Oreochromis niloticus: one gene and its partner. The protein of the gene in region 1 binds, or shares a complex with, the protein of each later gene. Links are inferred from orthologs where the notes say so. Each region holds a gene or a part of one and is shown on either strand. Other genes may lie near its edges.

Region 1 (7,467 bases):
GCCTAGTAGAAGAAAACAGGAAACATTTAGTTTAATAAATGGATGGACTGATTCTTACTTTTGTTTAAACACATTTTTTCAGCTGTCCAGAGATGGGAGGGTTCTGCTGGATATAAATAATTGAGATAATACTGGGAATAAAACAACATGATGGCTTCCACAAACTGGTGCGCACTCCCATGTCCCATTTCTTTCTATTAAATATCTTTTAAATATGACTGGATACACCTTTAAAGCTGCTTGTTAGGGTTGCACTTTTGATCAGTTTATGCAGATATTTATTTAACTGTGAAACAACTTCCAGGTATCCTATAACCACCTAGACTGGGTTCCTGTAACCATTAAACTCTTGACTGGGAAACAGAAGAAGTGCACAAAGCCACACTAACCAGCGTCAGTGGTTAGCTTTTCTTTCAAGTAGTCGTAGGTCTGTTTCGACACCGTATCAGCGGAGCGATGTTTGGCCTTGTTTTGATCCAGCAGGCTGCGGATTTTCTCAATCTTCTTCAGCATATTGTGATCGTATTTCTCCATCAGACCCTGGATCCTGCAGCCTGATGGACATTTAGGGCCCTAATGGATGACCAAAGAGAAGACATAATTATTCCTTATTTCTGTGTCACATAAAAATCAGAGTCATTTAAATACAGAACAACAGGTTATTATAATAATTGGCAGTACAACCAGAGGCACAAAAGCTCCAGTCTGGCCCGGATTGTACATTCTGTAGTGTATTTTCACAAGTTTAACAGTTTTTCCTACCCATAAAGACCTCCCTCATGGTCATTCACAATATACCAGTTATTATAGATTTCTGTCATTTTAAGCATTAATTCTTGCAATCGGCTCGTGCTGACAGATTTCCTTCACTTGTTATAGCAGCATCTCTTTACCATATATAAACACTAAGACATAATTTTGAAATCTTATCGATTAAGTACATAGTTAGACTTTTGCACTGACAGAAACTGGAATTTCCCCAGTCCAGCTTTCTTGTAAACATTGAATCTTAAAATTGCACACATTCATTGAGGTCAATAAGAACTTTGCCTAGCTTGAGCTCTGAGAGACAACAGGGAATCTGCATACCCATTCAACGTCTGTGCAGAAAGGCCATTCCTTCTCAGTGGCACATTTTTCACTTCTGGTGCCGTGCTCCACTGGACGACCTCCCCTGGGATCAATCTGGGCCTAGACGAAGACAAGAAAGTCAACATTGTTTTAGTTAGGGCAGAAAACATAGCTATTGTCTCTGGGTTGTTCGTGGTGTACAATGTATTTTTGAGGGGTGACTATGCACATATAGTTGCAAACAAAGAGTCTTTGTGACAGAGCCGCTATTTTAGTCCATTTGGTCTACAACAATGACTTTTACAATGAAACCCTACTTAAACAAAACCCTGGTTAAAGGCTTGGTGATACATACTGAACTTCTTTGATAAATCTAACTAAAAATCTTAAAAACAGATGCTGCACATCAAACATGTACATTATAACACGTATAACCAATTTCAACTGAACTGCTCAAATTAGGAGGTGTTTCTTTGGAATAATACTAGTGACTAAAAATACTTAAATTGTTTGCTTCTTACCCACAAATAAAGATTTTATTAATAATATTTATAAAGTAAAATACACAATTACAATAATTATATAAGCAGAAATACTTTTCAAATTTATTTATTGCAAATTTATTTTGAAATGTACTCAATTTTATACTGTTATTAGTACATAATTATTTTTCTTATCATCCTCCTAGGACCCTGGGGTGGCTGTGGCTCAGGTGGTAGAGCAGATAAACTACTGATTGGAAGGTTGGTGGTTTGATTCCTGGCTGCCTCAGTCTGCATGCCAAATATCCTTGAAAAGATACTAACCCCAAGATGCGTTCATCGGAGTGTGAATGTGTGTGAATGCTTATTAGTTGCACTTGTGTTTAGAAGTGCTTGTATGAATGGGTGAATGAGGCATGTTGTATAGAGCGCTTTGAGTACTCCGGGAGAGTAGAAAAGCGTTATTTAAGAATCAGTCCATTTACCTGGCGTCCACATATGTGGACATCACATTTTGGGTTATTTAGACCAAAATACTCAATTTTGCTCTACAAGGGCCTGATATTCACTTACGAGGACATTATGCTGCTACTGTTCTATCGAAATTTTAAATGAATATCCTCATATGTGGCTCTCATTTTTCATTTTGGTAATTCTTTGTTTTTACATTCATCGGGCCCCAATATGCTCAAATATCAAAGAGAAATTAAAAATGCATGCTGTGGAAAAGTTCGGGTCTTAGGAGGTTAAATATTACATACAAAAATTTTTAGGTCAGTAGTAGTTAATCAGTCTGCAGTATTTAACTAACTGGCTTTAAATAATATATATATAAAAACTGTAAGTATAAATGAAGCTCTGTTTTGTTAGGTCTGCTAAGTTACACATCCTTTATTTGAATTGTTAAAACAGCTAAAGATAGTGACTGTTTCTTTGATTGATCAGTATTCAGCATTCTACTCAAGCCAACGTCCACAACTTCTAAATCTTTTGTTACTATATTCATATAAATCAACAATAATAATAATAATAATAATTACCAGAAATATATCTAATAAACTTAGGTAGTAAAATAAAAGAGTAAATAATGAATAAGACAGTGCGCTCGACATCTTTATAAATAGAACAGCCAAATGCTATGTTCATGTATTCATATCAGTAAATAATAAACATATGAGTGATCAGTAAATACATAATTATTCTTGTTATTTATTAAACAACACAGTACATACACTAAAATGACAAAAAAAAAAAAAATTTCAGTGCCACATCTTTGTAAAATTATTTAAAAACATCAGAGAAACTCACCAGTGTTGAGGACACACATATCAGACACAAAAGGAAACAGAGTCGCTCCATCGTTGCCGTTTCTGTCACTCGCTCTCTGTGTGAAGAGTTGTTGCTGAATGATTTTCTAACGCTGCTCTCTGATCATTTGAAGCCTCCAGGTTCAATTTCACAAACCGGTGAGTCATCAGCAAACACTGGTCAGGTCAGATCAGAGTTGAGCAACAGCTTCTAATCGATGTGTTTGTTGTACTGTGTGTATCTTTACTCAAAAATAATGCATTCAAACACACACACTAAAGTCAAACATGCTGCCTACTCAGTTCAGTTGCAGCAGGATTTCTTGTCAGTTCCTGTACATTTTACACCAACCAAATAGTGACAAACACCAACGACACTAACATTGACTCAACTGAACTCAATCAGAAAAGGGCAACAAAAACATTAGAGGATTTTAAAATGATGGAACAGAGTTTCTATTTACTCCCATTTTACAGCATTACCGTGGGTTTTGTTAAAATATAAATGAATCTCTCTGTATTATTATTACATGCGTCAGTAAAATGTCATTTATTTACCTTTCAATACAAAGATAACAAAATGCTTCACAAAAAAACACCAGAGAATAAAAAAGTTAACTACATACAGGTAAAAAACAATGCAATGATAAAATGTATAACAATTTTTAAATAACAATAATGATTTAGCTTCTCAAGTTAAGGTGTACGTGTATAAGCCGCTTAGCTAAAGCTTCATATTTTTATTCTCTTTCTAAGGTAAACCATTAGGTAAATGTATATAAAATCAATCTAATCATAAATACTTTGTCACCAAAGACTTTATATTAAAAATGGTTGGTGTCTCCAGATCTTAAAAGTCCATTCTTTTAAATGTGTATATGCTGCTCCTTTGTTGGCATTCACACTATGAAACTTGAGTGGATGTAGCCACCATTGCTTTTACACGTCAACATGAGGCTTCTGGCTGCACCCATGTTGGATTTTAAGACCCAGACGTTATGTTTTCTGGATAAAAGTGTGGAGTGCTAAGTTAGCAGCTTGCTACTTATGAACTGAACAGGTCAAATGCAGAGATGCATATCAGCTAATTAGTGCTTAGCATCACAAAATAAAACTTTGGGAATTTCAATCACCAGAACTGAAGCACAAATCTATTTGTACCATAGGATACTACTTTAGTTATAAAGCGCTTTTTTTTTGTAATTAAAGTCTTTATTTGTTTTTAACCTTTAACCACATACAAACAAAAACAAAACAACAAACCAAACAACAACAGGAAAAAAAAAAAAAAAGACAGCTTCCAATCCCATGGTTGGGATCAGTACACACACAAAAAAAGGACAATACAATCAAATTCTTAAGTTATTCCGTTACTGAGTGCCTACACAAACATACAACATAGCAAGCATAAAATTTAACTAAAGATAATTGTCCTGACCAAATAAATTTCAACCATCTCAGCCAAAAACACGTCCCCATGATTTGTCAAAACCCTCCCTATCATCATTAATCCTAGCCAAGAATTTTTCATACGACACCATTTTCAGCATATTTTCTTTCCACCTATTATATTCTGGAGGAGATGGCTCCTTCCATACACTGAGAATAACTTGGGCCGCTGCAATTACCCCCACCTTTATAACCACAAAGTCATATTTTGAAACCCCAGGCAACGCCGACCGATCCCCTAATAAGCACAGTCTTGGTGACAAGGGTATTATTAAACCAATCCACCTTCCTATTTTGTCCAATACTTTTTGCCAGAAGGGATAAACTTTCCCACATTCCCAAATAGCATGCATAAATGTCCCTGGATCTGAACTACATTTCCAGCATATATTACTGGGACTGATTCCCATTCTATAAAGTTTGGACGGAGTGAAGTACCATCTGTGTATTAATTTGTACTGAGTAAATTTACCCCTGGCCTCTCTTATATATTTATCAGAGAATGACAAAATTCTACACCAATCTTCTTTAGAAATTGCACAACTCAAATCTCTCTGCCATATAATCCTCAAGTTTTCACATATCTCTTTTTTTAGATTGTTAAACAGTTTGTAGAAAACAGCTGCTCTATGTGCTGTACTGGACAATTCTAAAAACTCCACCACCATATTTGTGCTTTGAGTAAATTTTCCTTTGGTAATACAATCCCTTATTTGTAAATATTTCCAAAAATTATTTTCTCCTATCAAACCATATTTTTGGGTTATTTCAGCGAATGACATAAACACTCCCCCTGAGTAAAGATCACTTATCCTGTGTATGCCTTTGACAAGCCATTCCTTCCAGAACACCATTTTTCTCCCAATCTGTACAGCAGTGTTGTTCCATAGCGAGGTATAAGGTTGTCTTAAATAAGAGGCTCCACACATCTTGTGCACCTCTACCCAGACAGCTTTAGAATACCCGAGCACTGGGTTATTATGAAAGTCTTGTCCATTAATTGCTGAGCCCTGTGAGAGAACATCCAAGGGTGTAAAAGGGCTCACTAGTTCCTGTTCAATCTTCATCCAGCTCAGCTCAGAGTCCGAACCTGTCCAGTGCTTGGCCAGTCTTGACATTTCAAAAGCTAAATTATACAACTTCACATTTGGGAGGGCCATTCCCCCAATGTCTTTAGCGGCCCACATTTTTTTTTATATTCACTCTTGGCTTAGTTATAAAGCGCTTTTAAAAACAACAACCAGCCTGACCAAAGCGCTGCACATTAACACCAAATATAAGGAACATCAATATTTATCAAATCAAAAACAAAGCGATACAGTAATGTTGTGGGGATGGAGCTGGATTCCCTTAAGGTGGTGTCGGAGAGGCGGATGTTGTCCAAGATAAAGACAATGTTGGATAATTCCTCCCACCCACTCCATGACATGACATGCTGGTCAGTCACAGGAGCACGTTCAGTGAGAGACTTGGCTGCGTTCACACCGAACGCGATAGAGGCGAGCGAAAACGCCCTAAACGCCCCTAATTTGACGCGTGCACATTCGCACCTCAACGCGTGTCCAAGAAAAACCCATCGCGCCTCAAAATTGCATCTTTCCACGCGCGTGGACCGGAAATGTGGGAGGAAGTTGTGCCAGATGTGTTGTGCTGCAGATGTCCTCTGAATAAACACATTATCTTGTTAGCGGAAAGGTATTTGTACATCAGTGGGAAAATAGCGGGACAGTAGGCGGGCTTGCTAGCTTTTGCGCGGCTTTATCGGGTCAGTCTGAAAATTAAAAAGGAGAATGAATGAACTTACCAGGTTGCCCGATCTCCTCACTTCTGTGCCTCCAAGCTCGGTCCTTTTTATTCCTGTCTCGGTAGAAGTAGCAGCTGGCATCATACAGCTCTGGGTGATTAGCCACGGCAGTGATGAGTTTTTCCTCCATACGGAATGAAGAATGAAGAGCTTTGGTTTGATCTGCCCCTGTGACCTGGTTACAGCCACGTCACCGGCCTCCTGATTGGTTGTCGGGGCGCGATTTGACGCCGGAGTTCATATTTTCCAACTCCAGCGGTTGGCGCGGTATGGGCGTGTGCACAAAATGCAGCACACAATCTGACACGCGTGGTTTTCTTCGCGAGTCAAACGCGCCCCACGCGGTACACTGACGCGCGTTTCACGGGTTTTGGCGTTTTCGCGACGCAAATCTGCTTCCGCATGTTCGCCGGATGCGCAATCGCGTGTCATCGCGCTCTTTCCATTGACTTTACATGTACACCTGACGCTCTGGCCGCCTCTATCGCGTTCGGTGTGTGCGCACCGTAAGCACCACTGAACGACACAGGAAATCATTCCTGCCTGTGGCCATCTCCCTGTACAACTCCTCCAACTAATACACTGTAAACACTGCAATAGCTACGTCCTTTTTACACACGCTCTTTTCTACTCAGTAATGTTGCTGACAATATTCTTGATATTTATTTGTAATTAGGGATGGGTACCGGTGTCCGGTTCTGACATAAACGGTAATAACCAGACCGAAAAGCAGCGCACATTTCGGTGCTTTTTTTTTCCTGAGCCAATTCTAGCCAATCATTTTACGTTTCTGAGGATAGTAGGCGGGGCCAGGTACGTACGTTCTTTTAGAGCAGAGCTACAGATTAAAAATGCCCAAGGCGAAACGGTCAAAAGTCTGGCTGTACTTCACAGCAAAAGATGCAAACTCGGCAGCCTGCAACAAGTGCTTTAAGCCAGCGGTCCCCAACCTTTTTTGCGCCACGGACCGGTTTATGCCCGACAATATTTTCACGGACAGGCAATAAGGTGTCGCGGATAAATACAACAAAATAAAACTAGTGCCGGTACCAAAAAAAAGAAGATTTATTCATAACACACGTGAAAAGACCCAGGAAAACCGAGTTAACGATAAAAACGATAACAAAATAACGCTGAAAACCAATAAAAACCCTGAAAACCATACATTTCACACCTGAGCCTCAACTCTAGCGGCCCGGTACCAAACGACTCACGGACCGGTACCGGTCCGAGGCCCGGGGGTTGGGGACCGCTGCTTTAAGCTGATACTGTGATACTGTCAAAGGAGGTAACATCTCAAATTCGATGAAACACCTGGCAACGCATAGCGTTTTTTTTTAAAGCCGAGAAATGC
Region 2 (7,681 bases), on another chromosome or scaffold:
AAGAGGAAAAAGGAACTCAGATATAATGGAGACATTACAGAAAAACAAAAAGTCAGTAAGTTTCCATGGAGGCATTTTATTTAATCTAAGGAGTTTTCAGGGCTGTTAGTGAGAGCATAACAAAAACCTGGTCCCTTTTTTTAAGCGTCTCCAAGTCCACCAAACTGTTTGACTCCAGCCTGCTGTCCTCCTGCTGTGATGCGACTGAGGGGAATGAGCTTCATGGTGGTCTCTTTCAGGGAGTACCAGCGGTTGTGCCACGTGACCCAAATGATGCCGTTGTCGAAGCCAAATTCACCAGCATCCTTTTCAGTGTACCTGCCACCTGCATAAAGATAATGCAAACAGTTTAGAGCTCACATTAATTAGTACTTTTGTCTCTGTTTATGCTAACTGTGGCTGCTTTTAGCCAGGAGGGTCTTACCCTGGTAGTATTTTCCATTCAAATGTGCAGCATGACATCTGTTCATCCACCACCCAGAGCCGTCCTGCTGAGCACAGTTGCCGTCGTACTTGTCGTTGTCCTTGTCAAAGGTGCTGAACTGCATGCCGTTGTGTGCTGTGTAGAACTTGTCGCTGGGGTCATCTCCAAAGTCAAAACCATCAAATGCATCTCCTGCATCTCCACCGAAGTAGAAACCATAGGTCATCCGGTACATGTCGATCTCTGGCCCCACTCTGAACATGTTATAGTCGGCATACCTGGAGAAATACGGCCACAGAGAATCGTGGATCTAAAGTTAGTTTGTGGTAACAACTGTTGAATCATCTCTTTTCTTCCTCTAAGGTAACCTCGCTACTAGAGCGGTCATGTTTGCCTTGTCCACAAGTCCCTTTCTTACATAATCTGTTATCATGTGTGTGTGTGTGTGTACCTTTTGTTGCCCTCCCAGTCAACAAGCTCTATCCTGAGCACAGTGGGGAAGTTGGTGCTGGTAGTGAGCGCGTGAATCTTCTCGTTACCTAACCAGAACTCTGTGGTGTCATCTGGTGAGAGATAACCGAAGCCCTCCTTGTACTGGACCCAGTTCTTGTGGAAGTCCAGACTGCCATCACGTCTCTGTAGGCAGGAAGGCGTGATCAGAGTCATCAGTTTATTGGGTGGTTTCACCACTTAGTTAACAAAACATGATTTAATGCCTTCATGACTTAATGAAAATTGTAGTGAATATTTAATTTTACATAAATGTAAAGATTAATTAAAATAGATAAAATACACAGGAATCACTAAGTGTAAGATCAATGATACGTACTCTTTGTATTACTGTGAAGCCACGTCCAAAGCTGTCAATCTCACAATAGACCAGGAACTGCTCCGTTGATTTTAATGGCTTCACATAGTAAAGACCGCTGGTGGTGGCGCCCTTGTTTGCAACGTCCTGGCAGTCTGATTAGAAAAACATATTTTTTAAAAATGAGCAGCCTATTATGAAACACAAAAACCGGAATATTTTCTAAGTTGGGTAAATAATTATGTAATCACATCCACTACAAAAGGTCACAGGACATTACATCTAGGATAAATGTTTGCTCTGCTCTGAAGCAGCATATTGATTTTAGCCTGTGACTAAATGCTGAAAGACAACAAATGTTGTTCAGATGAGACAAGATTGAGAAACTTCTTGTGAAACAGAAATAACCTAGAGGTCATATTATTTCTTCTTCTTCTTCTTTTTTTACCTGTTCCTGTGGTGGGTTGGATCTCAACTGTGTCTCTGCAGGGCTCATTGCATTTCTGCTGCAGCTGATTCGAGAGCTGTTTCAAGTCTGCCATTCTTCTCTCATTGGAGGAGATTACGTTCTGAAGTTCACTGGAAAGAGAGGATTACAGTCTATGAGCTGTACCTTGGTTTTATACACAGATAAAAAGCTGAGATGAATCCTAAGTATGAACCTGAACTTATACAAAGATCTAATTTAACGTATAAGGTCAATAGATTTTTAGGGACGTAGTGTGGGTAACAAATGTCTCCTGAGTACACTGAACTGTGGGAATAGGTGGACACTGATGCTGCTATGTATAGAAATTCAGTTTCAAGCTTCCTTTAGAGTTTTGTGTTTTGCATCTTCACATTGAGAACCTGACAGAAGTTCATGTTTATTCAGCAACAACACATTATATTAAAAAAAGAATAATTTATATGTCGTTGATTTAAAAAAATCAATCAACAAACGAGCATTGTAACTAAATGCAGTGGAGTAACTAACTGTTGTAAGAGTATGCATTGAACTTTTGGTAAGGTAACTTACAATATTTGCTGTTCTTGAGCAATTATGGTCTTCTCAAACCGAACAACATCATCCAGGATACTTGTTGACTTTTTGAAATGCACGTCTGAAATGGAAAAAATGAGCCGGTTTGACTGTATTCTCGATTTCGCATCAATATGCTGTTCAACCTGATCGCATTAATGTAAGTGTTAAGATGATTAAACGTCACAAAATAACTGCGTTACCTGGGTCAGAGCTCTTTTGATGTGCCACAGTTGTATCTTTCATGTAAGTAATTGTTTCTTCAGCCCCTCGAGTCAAATTGGCAATTGTTTCCAGTTCCCTTAGCAACTGGTCCAAATCGTGGTCCACCATTTCTGTATATCTTTGCATGTAATCAGCAACTCCACATGTGGTTGGACAGTATTTTCCCTAAACACAGATGGAGCATGTCAACAAAACAAACAAAACTCTTTATGATGGTGTGCTTTTATAATAATAGAATCCATACTGGAAGAAGCTTTGATTTAAAGTTGCGCACTTACAAAGCCATCATTGGGGGTGCATTCTTGTATGTTGTCTCCTCGGATTTGCTGCACAAAAAAAAGGAACAATAAATATAATTTTTATGCTCAATAAAACTACATCAGCAAAACTGCAAGAGTGCTCAGTGACTTACTGCTGACGAGAAGGAGAAAAGTAACAAAAGTCCTCCTGCTGTTGTAAGAAGTGATGGAGCCATGTTGCTTTGGCCGCCAGTTGTGTTTTCGTCTTGTTGGAGAATGAAGAGAAGCTCGACTCTGTTGGTTATTTATCTGAACAAGGTCCTCAGTCCAGACTTTGATAAGGGGTTCATAGGTAAACAATCCCACTCACTTTGTTGTGAAAATCCCATGACTCAAATGTCCAACAGACATCATTGCCAGGAGTTGATGCGGTCTGCAACTGATAGCTGTGGTAAAGGACACTTCTATGAGATTGCCATGTACTGTACGTCTTTGTAAACTCTGATGATGGTAAAGCTGTCAACAAGTTGGAAGAAATCGTGACTCGCACTTTAAGACCTGACAGTATTATTGAATTTGGAAACCAGCGCAATTGAGCTCGCTCTAGCCAAGAGTTCAGATTGTAACATAGTTTATTTACTTTTCTTAAACTTTGCTTGATAAAACACAGACAACAAGCATTCCTTGAAAAAATGCCATAATATGTTCCTGTGAACAAAAACAGGATTAAACACATTGTTTTTATATTTTAGACTGATGAACAATTACAATTATTAACAGCACACATTAATAAATCATTATGATGATTACTGACTTTGGCTTGCTTAATTCAGACTTGCCTGAATGAGACTTTTCTCCCGACAACAGTAATTTTATTTAATGATGACTTTGATTCTCAGTCAGCCGGCTAAAATTATTACTATTCTTTACTATCCTAACAAGGGTCCCCTAACCCTAGCAAAGTAGTTATCTGTGGTTTCTGACATGTGATGATACGGTCATGGTATAAAGCAGGAAATGCCTTCATCATAACTACATCGCGCAGCCTGCTTGTAAAGCCATCACTGAATGCAAACAGCTTTAAAACCTTTCTGTAGTGAATCCACCAGGCTTTATAATGTCGCTAAAATATGTTTACTAGACAAACTGTTTTAGTGTAACAGGGCAGGCTGTGATACTTTGAAACTTTTATTTTGAAAGTTGACTGCACAGGCATGTAAAACCAACCACTAGTGGGAGTGGAATCACAATAGACCCCACAAGACACATACAGGACACCAAACACACCAACAAACTGAAGACTTTAGCAGGATTCAGTCTGATGCAGTGAACTGACTTTTAAACGGTTATTTTTTTGTTGTTGCTGAGCAAGAACAGAAAACTTGGGACACAACAATAACACAATTTTCTGAACTATCTAAATCTTTGAAAATAAGCTACATTAGACAGCACTGAAGTAAGCTTTGCCTTACTGAAGTTTCATGAAAACAAGTTTCTGTTACAAAGTGTCTGTGAACAAAATGCTGTTGGAAAGAATCATAGTGGAATAATCCCTGTGGACTTTGCAGTCTGTATGTATGCAGGGGAACACTAACGATCCTCTTCCTTAATTCTGCAGGAAAAATCTACTTTTCTAGGAAAACAAAGCAGCTAAGTTACAGGCTTAATTTATAAGGAGCACATGTGCTGCTGCGTTATTGTTGACTGAGCTGGAGCTGAACTGAAGCAAATACAGACCAACATGAAAGAGCAAAGAAAAAACCCCAAACTGTGGCGTGTGGTCAAAGAAAACTCAGATATGATTAATGAGTAACTGGAGCACTCTTTGTCAGGGGCTAATTTCAATTTCATGGACAAGTCAATGTAAATAACAACAGCTTTGTTGTAGATGAATGCATTATAAAACATTTTATAAAGTTGCTTTATTTTAGAGGGACATATAGTCCTATTCAGTCCATCTGAAGTAATCTCATCATGAATGCACATGTAATTTTCTAGATGATTCTATGACTTCCGTGTCTTCTGTGTTTCTGAGGGAACTTTTATTGTATTTATCAATAGTACTTAGTTGTTTAATACCCATAAGACAATACATGAACACATATTCAGCTTTACTCCACAGTGTCCACAGGCCCAGAGGGCTTTTGACCTTTATTATGGTGTTGGGAAATAACAGCTAACTGAGTTAGTGAAGCATGAATCCAGTGCATTTGAGCCCCAAGCCTTCTTGCTAACTACTGCATACATAAAAATACACATACTGATACATGCATACATCATGAGGAATTTTATACTAGCCTTTATACTACTCTATCACATGAATTTCACCCTTGGGGTTCCCTGTTGACAAAGCAATCATCAAATTAGCTAATATCCTCTACCCATTTCTCTACAAGTTCATGCTGCCAGCTTATATATGCCATTACACAATGCTCTGGGAACGTGACTGTAATCCCTGCTCATACACGTCAAATGATCAGGTGGGTATTAAATCACTTAAATCAAGTGCTGTGGGGGCATAGAAGCACCTAAACACCTAAAACAAGCAGTTCCAAGGACCAGAGTTTAGAAACAAAACATTATTGTAATGTAACTGCATAATGTTGTAGAAAATGACCTACAACAATGCTGTTTTGGTAAATAAGTTAAATCAAAGTGTGTCTTACTTCTTTAAATACTTTAACATTTAAAAAAATATATATTTCTGTACATGCATATTTTTAATATGTTTATTTCAATTTAAAGAGATAAAGGAGACACTAGTCTTAAAAGCAGCTGGCATTACGTCCAATCCGGATTTGGCTCCCGGAAGGATCTCTTCATCCCTGGGTCAAAGGTCAAACTCTCTTCTGTGCCTCATTTTACTGAATAGTCTTGTGCCATTAAATTAAAAAAGATGAAATGAAATTTTAAGGATCAGTTGGATGGATCATGGATCATACCATGGAGGGTTAAGCTAACCCCCACTAACAGAGAGCGAGACAATACAGTTAATATTAAACTAAACTACAGGTAAAAATGCATGCACTAATGCAATTTTGTGTGTGCCCAGTAAAAGCACCAATTCAGCTCATCACAAGGCTCCAGTTTCATGCTGCTCTGCTTGTTTGAGTCACAGTTACAGGAAACATGCTCTCATGAGGCAGATGAGTTTGAAAGTGCCTCTACTGTCTTTTTATGAATGAACTGACTTTTATTTCTACTGTCAAATTGTTTGCAGACTTCACTGCTATAATTTCAGAGTATGGTGGAAAAATCAAATAAGCAGACACGAGTAAGTAAACAGATCCTTCCAAAGATGCTGTGTAGTTTTAAATAGGTGTAGCTGCTGAAAATTGTTTTTCCGTGGCCATCTCTTCAAGGTGCTGTGAGCAAACACACCTCTTTTTATTACAACAGAACAAACACTAAAGATACATGTGACTTAATATAGCTTAATAATGGTTGATCTGTGGGCCCCATGTTGACATTAAATGATAAACCTTGACTACCTTTGTGTGACCAGGTTTTATTATGTGGAAAAAAACAGGCCCAGGATGGATATAAAGCCTCGCTGACCTGAGAATGAACTGCCAGGCCCATGAACCTAAACAGTGTTGAACTTTTGCTGAACTTTCTAGCGACACCAGATGGAAAGTGCCTCTTTCTTTCTTTAAGTGCCATGAAGACACGAGCACGCTCTCTAAACACCGGGTTCAGGATGTTTAGATGTGTTTTGGGCTGTTGTCGATGCGTTCACACACTCATGCCCGACTGACATTCTTACACTGTCGCACGTTATCAGGATGCAAAGCAACCAAAAAAAGCAAGTTTTTAGTTTTCTTTATAAAGACTGTGCATACTCTGGAAATAGGTCCAAAGAATATTATGCAGAATAAATGCAGTTTTCTTTAAAATGAAAACATTCACATTCCACATCTTAAGAAAATACGTCCTTCTGTCAGTAATCAACTTAAGCACCAAAGCTGAAAAACAAAGTCAGCATAGTTCACAGGTCGTCTGACCAGGAATTAAATTTAAAGAGCCTTGTTTGGATGCTTCAGCGGTCACAACTATAATTCTGGAGCTGTTTGACCGTGGCGTAAATCTCCCCAGGATGGAGGGCAAAGGTTTGCGGTTTGGCCACATTCGGGTTCAACCTGCGGCCGCGCGCGGTTAAGTCGCCTCAGCTGAAGGTGGTGTGATCTGCAGTAACACATGCGGGGACACTGACACTTTGTTGTCCACATATCACAAACTAATGTGTAAAAAGTACATTATCATCATCAGTAATTCTTCTAATATCAGGAAATGTAGCAGATTTGCAGTCAGCGTAATTCACACAGACTTTATTTGGTTCTGCTGGTGTGTTTTTGTGGAAGTAAACTTTTTATGTTAATAATGCAACTACCTGTGTTTGTCTGCTGTATATACGCATTCATGTGTTAATAAGAAATGCATCAGATCAAACCTTTGTGGAATGCATAACAATAACAATCTTCTGTGCACTGTTTGTGGCCCTCGCACTCATTAGACACAAAGTCCTGAATGATAGCTTAACATTACTCATGATTCCCTTAAAACTGGACCAGGTAGCAGTTTTTATGAAACATTACTTCATCTAGAGTATTGTTGTGGGTTACGCATTTACTTGGCAAGCAAAAGGTCGCTGGTTCCAGCTGGAGACACAAATCCCTTTTGGGATTGTGTCAGAAAGAGCCTCTGGTGTAAAACTCTACAAAATCAAAAATTTGGAGTTACCCACTGTGGGGAGCAGCTGAAAGTGGCTTCTTCTTCATTATCATCCATCCACAGGTGAATTCACAGCTGTGCGTGCTACATGTTGCCTGTTGATGTGTTTTCGACATTAGATGTCAGCTACACAGAGAAATAACCTCCAGCTAAGAGCCAAATCTCTGCTTTTATTCATGAGATTGTTGGATGATGCATAGAAAGATAGAGGATATTAACAACCGCATTCTTTA

The links. The genes of interacting proteins can lie anywhere in the genome.
Region 2: the proteins of fga (region 1) and fgg are in contact, whole or in part, in a crystal structure (PDB 3GHG), measured with the Homo sapiens proteins. The link is inferred for Oreochromis niloticus from reciprocal best matches to the Homo sapiens genes FGA and FGG. Residues at the interface, in NP_000499.1 of Homo sapiens: Trp60, Asn61, Lys63, Cys64, Pro65, Ser66, Gly67, Met70, Leu73, Ile74, Val77, Asn78, Phe81, Arg84, Ile85, Leu88, Ser91, Tyr95, Asn98, Leu105, Ile109, Ile112, Asp116, Ser119, Arg123, Asp124, Tyr127, Val130, Ser131, Asp133; in NP_068656.2 of Homo sapiens: Thr47, Thr48, Cys49, Gly50, Ile51, Ala52, Asp53, Leu55, Tyr58, Gln59, Val62, Asp63, Leu66, Gln67, Leu69, Glu70, Leu73, Thr80, Ile87, Ile90, Gln91, Tyr94, Glu98, Asp106, Ala107, Ala108, Thr109, Leu110, Ser112, Arg113.

What each region holds. Positions count from the first base shown.
Region 1 is NC_031967.2:50,326,305-50,333,771, forward strand, and holds the start of fga (fibrinogen alpha chain), read right to left. Parts: upstream 2,927-7,467; 5' UTR 2,913-2,926; coding exon 2,862-2,912; intron 1,192-2,861; coding exon 1,090-1,191; intron 574-1,089; coding exon 390-573; intron 3-389; coding exon 1-2. UniProt on the Homo sapiens protein: Cleaved by the protease thrombin to yield monomers which, together with fibrinogen beta (FGB) and fibrinogen gamma (FGG), polymerize to form an insoluble fibrin matrix. Fibrin has a major function in hemostasis as one of the primary components of blood clots.
Region 2 is NC_031971.2:14,054,991-14,062,671, forward strand, and holds the start of fgg (fibrinogen gamma chain), read right to left. Parts: upstream 3,052-7,681; 5' UTR 2,954-3,051; coding exon 2,891-2,953; intron 2,805-2,890; coding exon 2,757-2,804; intron 2,644-2,756; coding exon 2,457-2,643; intron 2,336-2,456; coding exon 2,251-2,335; intron 1,812-2,250; coding exon 1,681-1,811; intron 1,388-1,680; coding exon 1,254-1,387; intron 1,061-1,253; coding exon 876-1,060; intron 703-875; coding exon 425-702; intron 326-424; coding exon 141-325; 3' UTR 1-140. UniProt on the Homo sapiens protein: Together with fibrinogen alpha (FGA) and fibrinogen beta (FGB), polymerizes to form an insoluble fibrin matrix. Has a major function in hemostasis as one of the primary components of blood clots.